2 linked regions of the Drosophila melanogaster genome follow. The protein of the gene in region 2 interacts with the protein of the main gene of each other region in a pairwise test. Each region holds a gene or a part of one and is shown on either strand. Other genes may lie near its edges.

Region 1 (5,073 bases), about 14 Mb from region 2:
TGATGCACGAAAGAAAGAGACAGAGATTTTTTTGCAGTATAAAATATAAAAGTCAATGCCTATTTGCTGATCACTCTTGCTGTTTTTATACCCGTTACTCATAGATTATAAGGGTATACTATTTTCGTTGAAAATTATGTAACAGACAGAAGGAAACGTTTCCGACTATATAAAGTATATATATTCTTGATCAGGATCAAGATCCAAGTCGATCTAGCCCAGTCCGTCTGTTCGTATGAACGTCGAGACCTTAGGAACCATTAAAGCTAGAAGGTTGAGATGAAGCATACAGATTCTAGAGACCACCCTAACGCCCACAAAACCCCCCAAAACTGCAACGAGCAGAGCTTTTAAACAACTTTTGGATATTTTTTCATAATTTTATTAGTCTTGTAAAGTTCTATCGATTCGCCAAAAACTTTTTGACACGCCCACTCTAAAGATCTAAAACCACCTAGAACTACCACGACCACATTTTTAAAAAAATTGTTGGATATTATTTCATAATTTTGTTGGTCGTGTAAATTTTTATACATTTTTTTTGGCAAAAAATTGGTTGCACGTCGATAGACATTGCCAAGACAAATAAAAATGTAAAATGATATCAACAAATTTTTAAAAGATTGGGCGTGGCAGTTTTGTGCGGCTTGTGGGCTTTAGAGTGGGCGTGGCAGCATGGGTCAACAAACTTCCGCTGTGTCTTCGTTTCTAGAATCTGTATGCTTCATCTCAACCTTCTAGCTTTAATAGTTTCTGAGATCGAGACTCTCACGCGGACAATAAGACGGACAGTCGGACATGGCCAGTTCGACTCGGCTATTGATCCTGATCAAGAATATATATACTTTATATGTTCGGAAACGCTTCCTTCTGCCTGTTACATACTTTTCAACGAATCTAGTATACCCTCTTACTCTACGAGTAACGTTATAAAAACCTTTCGCAGCTAGCATGTTAAAATGAGGAAGGGGGTGTATTATGCTCTTACAGATTATTTGATAAAATGCTAAGTCTAAAAATAAATACAACATCCTCGTAGCCGTAGATTATTTGATAAAATGCTAAGTCTAAAAATAAATAAAAAATCCTCGTAGCCGTATGTAAGACGAGACAAAAATAAATAAAACATCCTCGTAGCCGTATGTAAGACGAGACAAAAATTAATTGCAAATTTTTTAGGCGAAATCGGGCAATAAAAGGGAGCAAGCAAATCCAATCGATAAAAGAATAAAAAAAAACGCTTTAGAACTGATATGCCAATGTTCCGTTTGCCTTAGCTCTATGAAATCTGACTGTCCTACGGTAATCGATTTTCTCTTGTGCCGACATATCAAGCACCGCAAAGGGGACCGTGGGGCATAACCTTAGTATCGAGAACACGACACAGCTTTTTATAAAATAATATCAAGCCGAAGAGCTAAAATAAATTTTGTATAGCCTAAAGCCTTACGATTAATATCATTCTTAAAAAAATTAAAGAACTCAACTTTCTAGCCGTTTTTTATTTTATATTTAGCCAAAAATGGTTAAAACCATATAATTTACAGCCGCTTGTTGATTATTTAATGAGTATTTATTATAACGTCAACTGAAAGGGACTTATTGTGCGATTTAATATATCCTCCTGCTGATAATAAGTAAATATACTGTGGACAGACCGTTGGACAAAATCTACTGGACGTTAGTATTAATAGAGCTATAATACCAATCAACTTATCGAAGTATCGACGAACCGATATCTTGTTCCCGGATTGCGTGAAAATACTGAGGACAGACCGTTCGACAAAAAACCTGTCATTTAGTATTAATCGAGCTATCGATATCTTATATATACTAAAAGATATCATTCAGTATTTTAACAAACGATCCACTGTCGGTATTTCAAGACAAGCCAAGTACGTTCATATTTCGTTTTTTCGTCAGGGTGGGTGTGCGCAAAAATTGGTCGGCAAGCAATTCAAAAGTAAGAGCAACCGGAGCGAACAAAAAAGGGAATAACTTACTAAAATCTCTGAAAGAAAAATAAAAAGACTAACGGGCTCGGCAAGCTGTGTTTATTTCGACAAGTAATTATATACTTGGAGTGCAAGCAAAGGCGAAGGAAGTGGAAGGACAAGCAACGAAATCGTGCTCTTATCCGTTCCTGTACTGTGTCTCTCTTTCGCTGGGAGAGTGTGTGTATTGGTGTGAGTGTAGAAATCTGCAAGAACAGCAACGCCAATAAAAGTGGAATCGAGAAAAAAAACGCAGTGGCGCGTGAATCACGAGCAATCTGAATCATCTCTCTACAAAAATACCTGTTTCTGTTGGCGCATCATTTATACCAATTAAATCCTAAAGGATGGAACACCACGAGGACAACGCGCAGTTGGACAACTACTTGCAGAACCGCCTGGCCGAAAGTCTGCAAATTTGCGGAGGCGCCGGCGAGCATAATCCTCATCTGGCAGACGCTACTGGGGGGAACGGCTGCGCTCCTGGCATTGCGCCCTCAAAGTCGGACGAAGTCGACGGGGAAGAAGACGAGGAGTGGAAGTACATACACGAGGTGCGGCAGAGTGAAAAGCTTCAACAGGAAAAGCTTCCACTGACAAAGGAAACCGGCAATGGCTTCGGGCCCGGACGGGACTCAGATAATCAAGTTCACGGAAACGGAGCTGCCGCTGTCTTCAATCTGTACGAAGAGGACGTGGAAGTGATCAAGAACGATGGTGACTTCTCGACAAATTCTAACACCACTACTTCAACGGACGAGGTAGTTGCCAGGCAGGCCCAGGAGCCAAACCAGTTGCCGGAGCAGCTTCAACAGCAGCAGCAGATAGAATCACAAGGTGTTCACGAGGATCCCCGTCAGGAAGATGAGGATGAGCACAGCTCCGTGGCCACTACTTATGGAACAAGCAGTCTCAGTGAGAACAACTCCTCGCCTTTAGATCAGGAGGAGGTCGTTATGGTGGCCCAAACGGTTGGTCAAGAGCAGTTAGTGGACTTCGACAACAAGGAAAACTCCTATTTTGTTAAAAACCTGGAAGAAAACCACTCGCAGCTAAACCCCAATGCTGTGGCCTTTGTGCCTGGCGTTGGCTCACAATCATCCTCTCCCCTTCCTGCTGCTGAAGATCCACTACCTGGTGTTCAGCCCCGCCCATTTCTACCGGGAGGGACCCTTGACGATTTGGTGGCGGAAAGTCCGCGGAAAGAATTCGCCCGAATCAACATGGATGGTATTGCCGTGCCCGACGAGCGGGAATTTGACATTGAAGCGGATATGCGACCCCACGAGTTGGAGCAGGAATCGGACACTTTTGGGGCAGGACACCTGGAGATGCAGTTGTTGAACGGTATAGGAACCGCTGACCAAGCAGCCTTAAGGGATGTTCTGGATCACGGTCCAGAGACAAGTGTCGATATGGAGTTGCCACTAGATCAGGTGCCCAACGACGCCGACATCATGAAACAATCGATTTATGCCGAGCACAACTCCTCCATTGAAGATATCTTAAATTCCGTGCAACCTTTGCCAATTCAGACTTGTGACGATAAGGAACTAATTCATGTGGAAGAGAAAGAACATGTCTCGAAGTCGCCTTCTACAGAGGAGCTCCAGTTTCAGTCCGACTTCCCAAACAATCAGGAATCGCACACATTATTCAATAACACTGAGCAGGATCCAATGCAGGCTTCATTTTATTTGGAACATACCTCTCAAAAGGCTCAAGAGGGCTGCCAGGAGCAAATGCAGCTTCCCGCTGAGTGCTCTGATATTTTTGCCGACCAGAGTTTATTGCTAGACACCAGTGCACCCCAGTTGAGCTCCGAAGCAGACTCGCCTGTGGCGAAATTGGAGCTGGAATCCCAGCAAGCTGGCATTGTAGACATCACACCTTCGCCCCTTTCTTCCACTGCAGAGAAACATCTGGTTGAAGACACCAAGGAGCTAGTTGAGGAGTACACGTTGGATCCGGAATCCCATTTCTTTGGGGTTGTTTCATCTCAAGCTCCTCTACAGGTAAGCTAAAAATCATGAGCAAATTTGCAAGATCTATTATTATACACACTTCATTTGAAATCACAAGTTTCTAAGATAAATTATTAACTTTGTTGTTATACTCTTTTGTGTTTGAACATCGCATGTGCATGATACGCTACAGCGCCTGTGGACTTCATTCATTCCCAAACTCTCCTTATAACTCTCTTTCTTTTGGGGCTTACTTTTTTTAAAATCAATCATTTATTCGATTACAAATGAGTAGTATTTAGATTCAAAGTTTTAACTTTTAATGCGCAGCCTAGTTTATAACTTCATAACTACTTTTGTTTGTTTTGCATACTTAGTAATGTTCTTTCTGATGATTGCTGCATAGTATTAATTAAATTCTGTTTTAATGATTATTGAGGTGTGCTCTTTTTAAATTTTATTTTGTCCTGGGGTGCGTCATTTGGCTCGCTCTCGCGGCACTGTCGACATTGCTGTTTCCTACGCTCTCCCTTTGTTTTTTGCATTTGGGTGGGGTTGCTTTTTGTTGTTGGACGTGTGTTACTCAATTTTTACACCCAACAGGACATGCAAGTGTTTCCATTGAATGGAATATGGTGTTGGGTTTTGAGTAAGACAGAGTTTTGTATTTATTTGGTGTTATGTCTTTTTTTATTTCTAAAGTTAAAGGTTTGTCCTTATATTAGTCTAAAAAACTTAGATTGTTGCAGTGGCAATGTACAGTACAAAGTTATATTGGGAATGTTTGCAATCCTAAGTAATATAGGTAAAAGGGTTTTTTTCCTTCCTTATACTAATGTACAGGTGTTATTAAAAGCCTTAAGTTAAAGGTTATTTCCTGTGTCCCATAAATATATATTAAAACGTAAACTAATAAACTGTTACCCGAAATTCCTATTTTTATGTTTGGTTTTCGTTCGTTTTTAAGATTTCGATGAGCTGAGTTCGAATGAAGTTTAGCTCTCTCGCCAGCTCTCTTTCTCTTTGAGTCTGCAATCTGAGTAGCAAAACTTCTAGCTCCAACAATGAAAAGCTAATGGCGTTGCCAACCGCTGCAAGAAGTAGCAGTCTTTTCG
Region 2 (5,024 bases):
TTAAAATTCAGATCATAGCTCCTATTTTATTCTGCCTGTTGTGCGCTCCAATTATGTTTGTTATGTTAGTACTGATAAATTAGGGAATTTCTTAAGATTTCTTCATTAAGCCATAGTATATTTCTTCCATTCAATTAACTACTTCATATTTACAGTGTTTGCACACAACTCTGACGCCAACCTTTGAAATCATTAATCAAAAATACTTCCCAAACGGATTTTGTTCGGTCAAGTCCTCCACTCGCCGGAGGAGCACTAAAGTCCTGCATCATAGCACATAGCAACAGGACGCAGGAGCGTAACCGAAACCAAATCCTGTTCAGTGGGTTGCCGGTTTAATTGTTGTTTCCGAGTGCGCTCAATGGGCGGCTTTCGGGGATCGGGCCATTGTTGGCCGTATCTGGCAGTGACTGCAGCTGTCAATTAAACGCTGATTGACTTTGCATTCGCAGGACACGGATTGGCGCACGATGCGTATGATTAACGCCGCTTGTTCTGAGTCCTCCTCCTCACAACTCACTCTTACTCGATTCCCCGTCACCGCAACTTTTCACTCTGTGCCTTCGGTTTGGTCATTTGCTGTAGCGGGAACACCACCCTCTGGATTTTACACTGAGAAAAGTTTAGTGTCTCAAATACCAGCTATTTGCTTCATAAAATTGCAATTCAAATATTCATTACCTATTTCAAAATGTGCAAACTTTAGAATAAATTGCTTTAACTGCTTACTCTCATTCACACCTTTTGTATAAGAACATTCCACATATAATTATCTTAGAAAGCAACATTATCTAAAGAAGTTTTCAAAATGTAATTAGTAAAATATTGGAGAGAAACAATAAAAGTTCTTTTCCCTATCGGGTTGCTTTGTTTTTCCCCATGTACTTGCGAGTGTGCTTCATTTAACTTGGTTGCGGTGGTCGGAGGCACTGGAAAGTGGTCTGTGGCAAGGCGAAGCCAAGTGAGCTGGGACGGAGCTGGAGGAACAGGACCAACAGCAGTTGACGTCCCAAGCCCATTACCAGGAAAAGTAGGCCAAGCGCGTTTGAAGTTGCCACTGCGTTGGTGTGTGTGTGTGAGTGTGTGTGTGAGCCACCAAGCTGCTATTTTTGTACGCCTCAAGTAGAGCCAGCGGTTCGGTCTTCCCTCTCGCTCGCATAGCTCGTTCCATCTCTTTCTAGGCTGTGAATGTGCCTGTGCCAGTTTTCGGTTTCGTTTCAGCCCGCCGTTGGCCACTGTTGCTTCTAACGCACTTCAAACTGCCGCGGCGCTGACCTACTGAGCATTATTAGCCGGCTCACGGCTCGAGTTTTGGCCCAAAGTCCCGACGTCAGTCAAGCGTCAAAAATCGATAAGCAAAAAAAATAGAGCGGCAACGTGGAAGGTTAGCCCCAAGTCGAAAACGAAGTTTTGCATACCCTTGAAACTCAGCCAAGTCATTAGTTATGTTAAAGCCAAACGAGGGAATATGTCTAAATCGGGTTATCCCCTTTACATCAAAGTAAATTTGATTAACTTCAGTCTTTCCTGATCTAAGTTTACACATATCTTACTTTAAAAAAACAGATATCTATAAAAAATTCAGTAGCCTATAAAAAAGACAAATATCCACTCAAAACCATACCAAATATACACGTTTATTTTGGTTAACAATTAAAGTAAACTGAAAAAGTAGCCTATAAAAAAGGCTAAATGGTAAACTTTATCGTGTTTCGCTTTCACTGAACATTCGAGCCACAACCGCAAAATGATTTAGCGAGCAAAAGCAAAGTTTGTTGCACGTAGGATGCATCAATTAAAATGATAATAAATTTATTAAATTCATTTCCTTCAAAAAGTGATGACCGTGCTATTTAAGTTTTATGTTTTATATTTTATTGTTTTGTCGTACAATTTGTTTGAGTAAAAACATCCGGCTGCAGAAGTTAACAAAAAACTAAGTAAATAATGTGGTTCGTAAATCGATTGAAAAATCCGACGGCGATTCACTATTTTTTCTGTTATTCAAAACAATTTCGCAACACATCTGGTTTACTTATTATAGCTATTAAGTTGATTTTTAAACGCTGTGCTATTTGTTTAAACGCAGTGCTATTTCTATCACAACTCTTCGCAATTACAGGGTATTTGGCGGCTTAACGGATGTGTTTCCATCCACCCATGGCCAAGCCGATCCGTGCCAAGACTTGCGGATGCCGGAGCTGGAGCTGGAGCTCTTGGTCTAGCCGCATTGACTGCGGCTCTTGGCCGGGTTGGTGGATTCGAGTCGGAGATCTCAGGTTGTAGGTTGCAGATTGTGGGTTGTGGGTTGGCGGCTGCGGCTGTTTGCTGGTGTCGTGTGGCTGCGCCTTTTGACCCACCTAGCCGCCCCCGCAACCCCCGCGGCCGTCACAAGCTCTTAGCCAAATTGCTGCAGCCCGAAAAGAGAGATGGGGCGCGGAAGAGAGAGGGAGAGCGAGCGAGCGAGGAAACGGAAATAACTTGTAAACTTGCGGCACGCAATTTGCAATTACTTAGGCGACTGTTGCAAAGGAACATCAACCAACGCATGCAAAGGACAAAGGCAAGAGCGACTGCCAAAAAGTGAAACTTCCCTCAACTATTTGCTATTGATTAAACAACTAAAACGGCAAATGGAAGCAGAATTTGCGTATATGCCGTATACACCGTATGTTGCCGTTATAAAAGCTGGTCAAGATTGCGTATACGCCGCTTATTCCACTCTTGCGCTTGATTTTACAAGCCCATATTGCGTATACGCCGCACGTTCCACTCATTTTTTTCGTAAGCGTTTTTAAAGCCGTTGACGCTTGAAGGGCTTGTCACCGGTTATTCAGTTGGCCTAGTTGTTGACTTTTCTTAGCCACGCTAATTACCCGCACTGGCTGGCCAGTCGATGGGCCAGCAAACGATTTCCGCTACGATACCGTGCCACTTCATTCACGCACTCCACAAACACAGGCACATGGCACGCTACACACTTGCTGGTTTGCTCTGCCAATTTTCCCGTTGCGGGCCACAATTTTCACACACATCTATCACGGTTTACGCGCGCATTTTCCGGCTCAGCAACACGCCCGCACGCCACGAAGCTTCTTGGCCAAATGAATTGCCCGCTGGCCAACAGCAGCCGCTTCGCTCAAAGCGAGGAAATCCAGGGGGGAATCGTACCCACGAGGGGGCCACTCTCAACGCCCATGCGCACTGCCTTATGGCCACATGACTCTGGAGAGGATTTGAAGCAGCGATTCGGGAGCACTGCCATCGCCGCTCGCAATATTTACAATTTGCAACTGGCAGGCGGCGGATTTCGACGCCGCTTCGCCTTTCATTCAACTGTCAGATTTCGTGAGAGTCACTCAGAGAAAATACCCCGAGAATGGAGTCGCTGGGCGAGGGAGAGAAAGTGCTGGAGCGCAAGTTCCTGACCACAGAGGCGGCGCCACATGGAGCTAATGGGGATTCTTAATTGTTTAAGATATTTGAAAATGCATAGCAGGAAATAATGGTTTAGTTTACCAAGTAGAAGAAATAAAATCACCAAGATATACTAACTATTATAGATATATGTATGGATTAATATTTATTGTTCAGAGTTTATTATTGCACTTTATAATACATTTATGACCAAGTTAGAAAATCCAATCTTCAATTTCAATTTCCTAACTTTTAATCCATTAAGCATATGAATCATTGGGCTTTAAACTTGTAATTCTTAAGCTAGTGGTTAAAAGTAATATGGTCTTGAGAAAAAAGAAATATATAAACACAAATCAATATTATATATCCGGCAAAAAGTTCTAGTGTTCGCAGCTTAAACCCGGTGCTTAAAAAGTAAATCCGCTATATACTTGCTGAATAACTTTTGTATTATTTCAATATCACTTTATATCAATTTCCAGTGCTGTTGGTTAATTTATTCAGTGTTTTCCATAATTAACGCAACAAGAGCCGGCAAAGTGCTGCTGAGGCAACCAACAACAAACCGCCTGCGCCTGCTCTGTTGCCCAGGACAACCGCTGGCTAGAATAAATAAATTCCCAGGTGTCAAGTGGTGGGTGCTGCGACGAGGGGTTAGCGGTGGGCATGCGGACTCCGCTCACCTGAGCTCCAGTCGACGGTTGGCAGCGCCACCGCAATGCAACCAAGGAGTCAAAGTTGAGCCAAGAAGCGCGGTATGCGCCCAGTTTTTCCAACTTGGGGTAGACCGGAGACGGAGGAGCACCTGCCCCAATGTGGGCGCAAAGGTGTCAATCATAAGAGCGCATCGAAATGGCTGCAAAATCAAACTCAGTGAACAAATAGCAACTACTCAAGCTGAAATCAAAATTCAAAGTTTGAAAGGCCTAGGAGTTTCGGCAGTTCTCAGTACAAACTAAAGAAAAACACACGGGTGACAACGCTAATACCCCAAAAAAAACAAAATACACTACAAACGACGAAAGGAACTTAATCAGAGAACCGACGAAGAATAAGCATACAGGATGTCGGGGGCTGGAGAACACTCAGATGAAGAGTCCTATGGAGAGGAGTCCTTCGAGGAGGACTCGGAGTCGGAGGTGGAGGTGGAGGAAGAAGAGATTGAGTATATTGAGCCAGAGGAGTCAAAACCAAGTGACGCTCTTCTGTTGGGGGAGAGCGACACCCAAAGCGAGAGCGATGTGAAAGAAGAGTTTCTTAGCGGCAACGTAAGTCCTCCTCACCAGGAGCTGACTATTTCCGAGTTCAGCCTTAATCCGCAACCTGCATCGCGCCCACAGCCACACGCCCGTCGCTATTTGGGCGCCCGAGTGGTGTCCTACCTGAGTTCCTCCTCTGACGACGAAAGCCAAGTGGTCATCACCAAGACGGTAGCCGAGGTAAATCAACTAAGTCTGCGAGTGGACACGCCTCCGGAGGATGAGACGCCCTCGGTGCGCACTCTGATGCCAGGCAGTGCCCATTCTCGGGTTAAGGATGAGGACGAGGCTGAAGACGAGGATGATGACGAAGGTGATGGCGAAAATGATAACGATAATGAGGAC

The links.
Region 1: the proteins of CG15803 (region 2) and Map205 interact in a two-hybrid assay, tested with the Drosophila melanogaster proteins (one large-scale study listed by BioGRID).

Annotation. Positions count from the first base shown.
Region 1 is NT_033777.3:32,065,265-32,070,337, reverse strand, and holds the start of Map205 (Microtubule-associated protein 205), read left to right. Parts: upstream 1-1,896; 5' UTR 1,897-2,341; coding exon 2,342-4,009; intron 4,010-5,073. UniProt on the Drosophila melanogaster protein: May play an important role in the regulation of microtubule assembly and interaction.
Region 2 is NT_033777.3:18,357,642-18,362,665, forward strand, and holds the start of CG15803 (uncharacterized protein), read right to left. Parts: upstream 3,088-5,024; 5' UTR 2,877-3,087; intron 1-2,876. Other genes in the region: hmw (hemingway), read left to right, coding at 4,485-4,688, 4,761-5,024.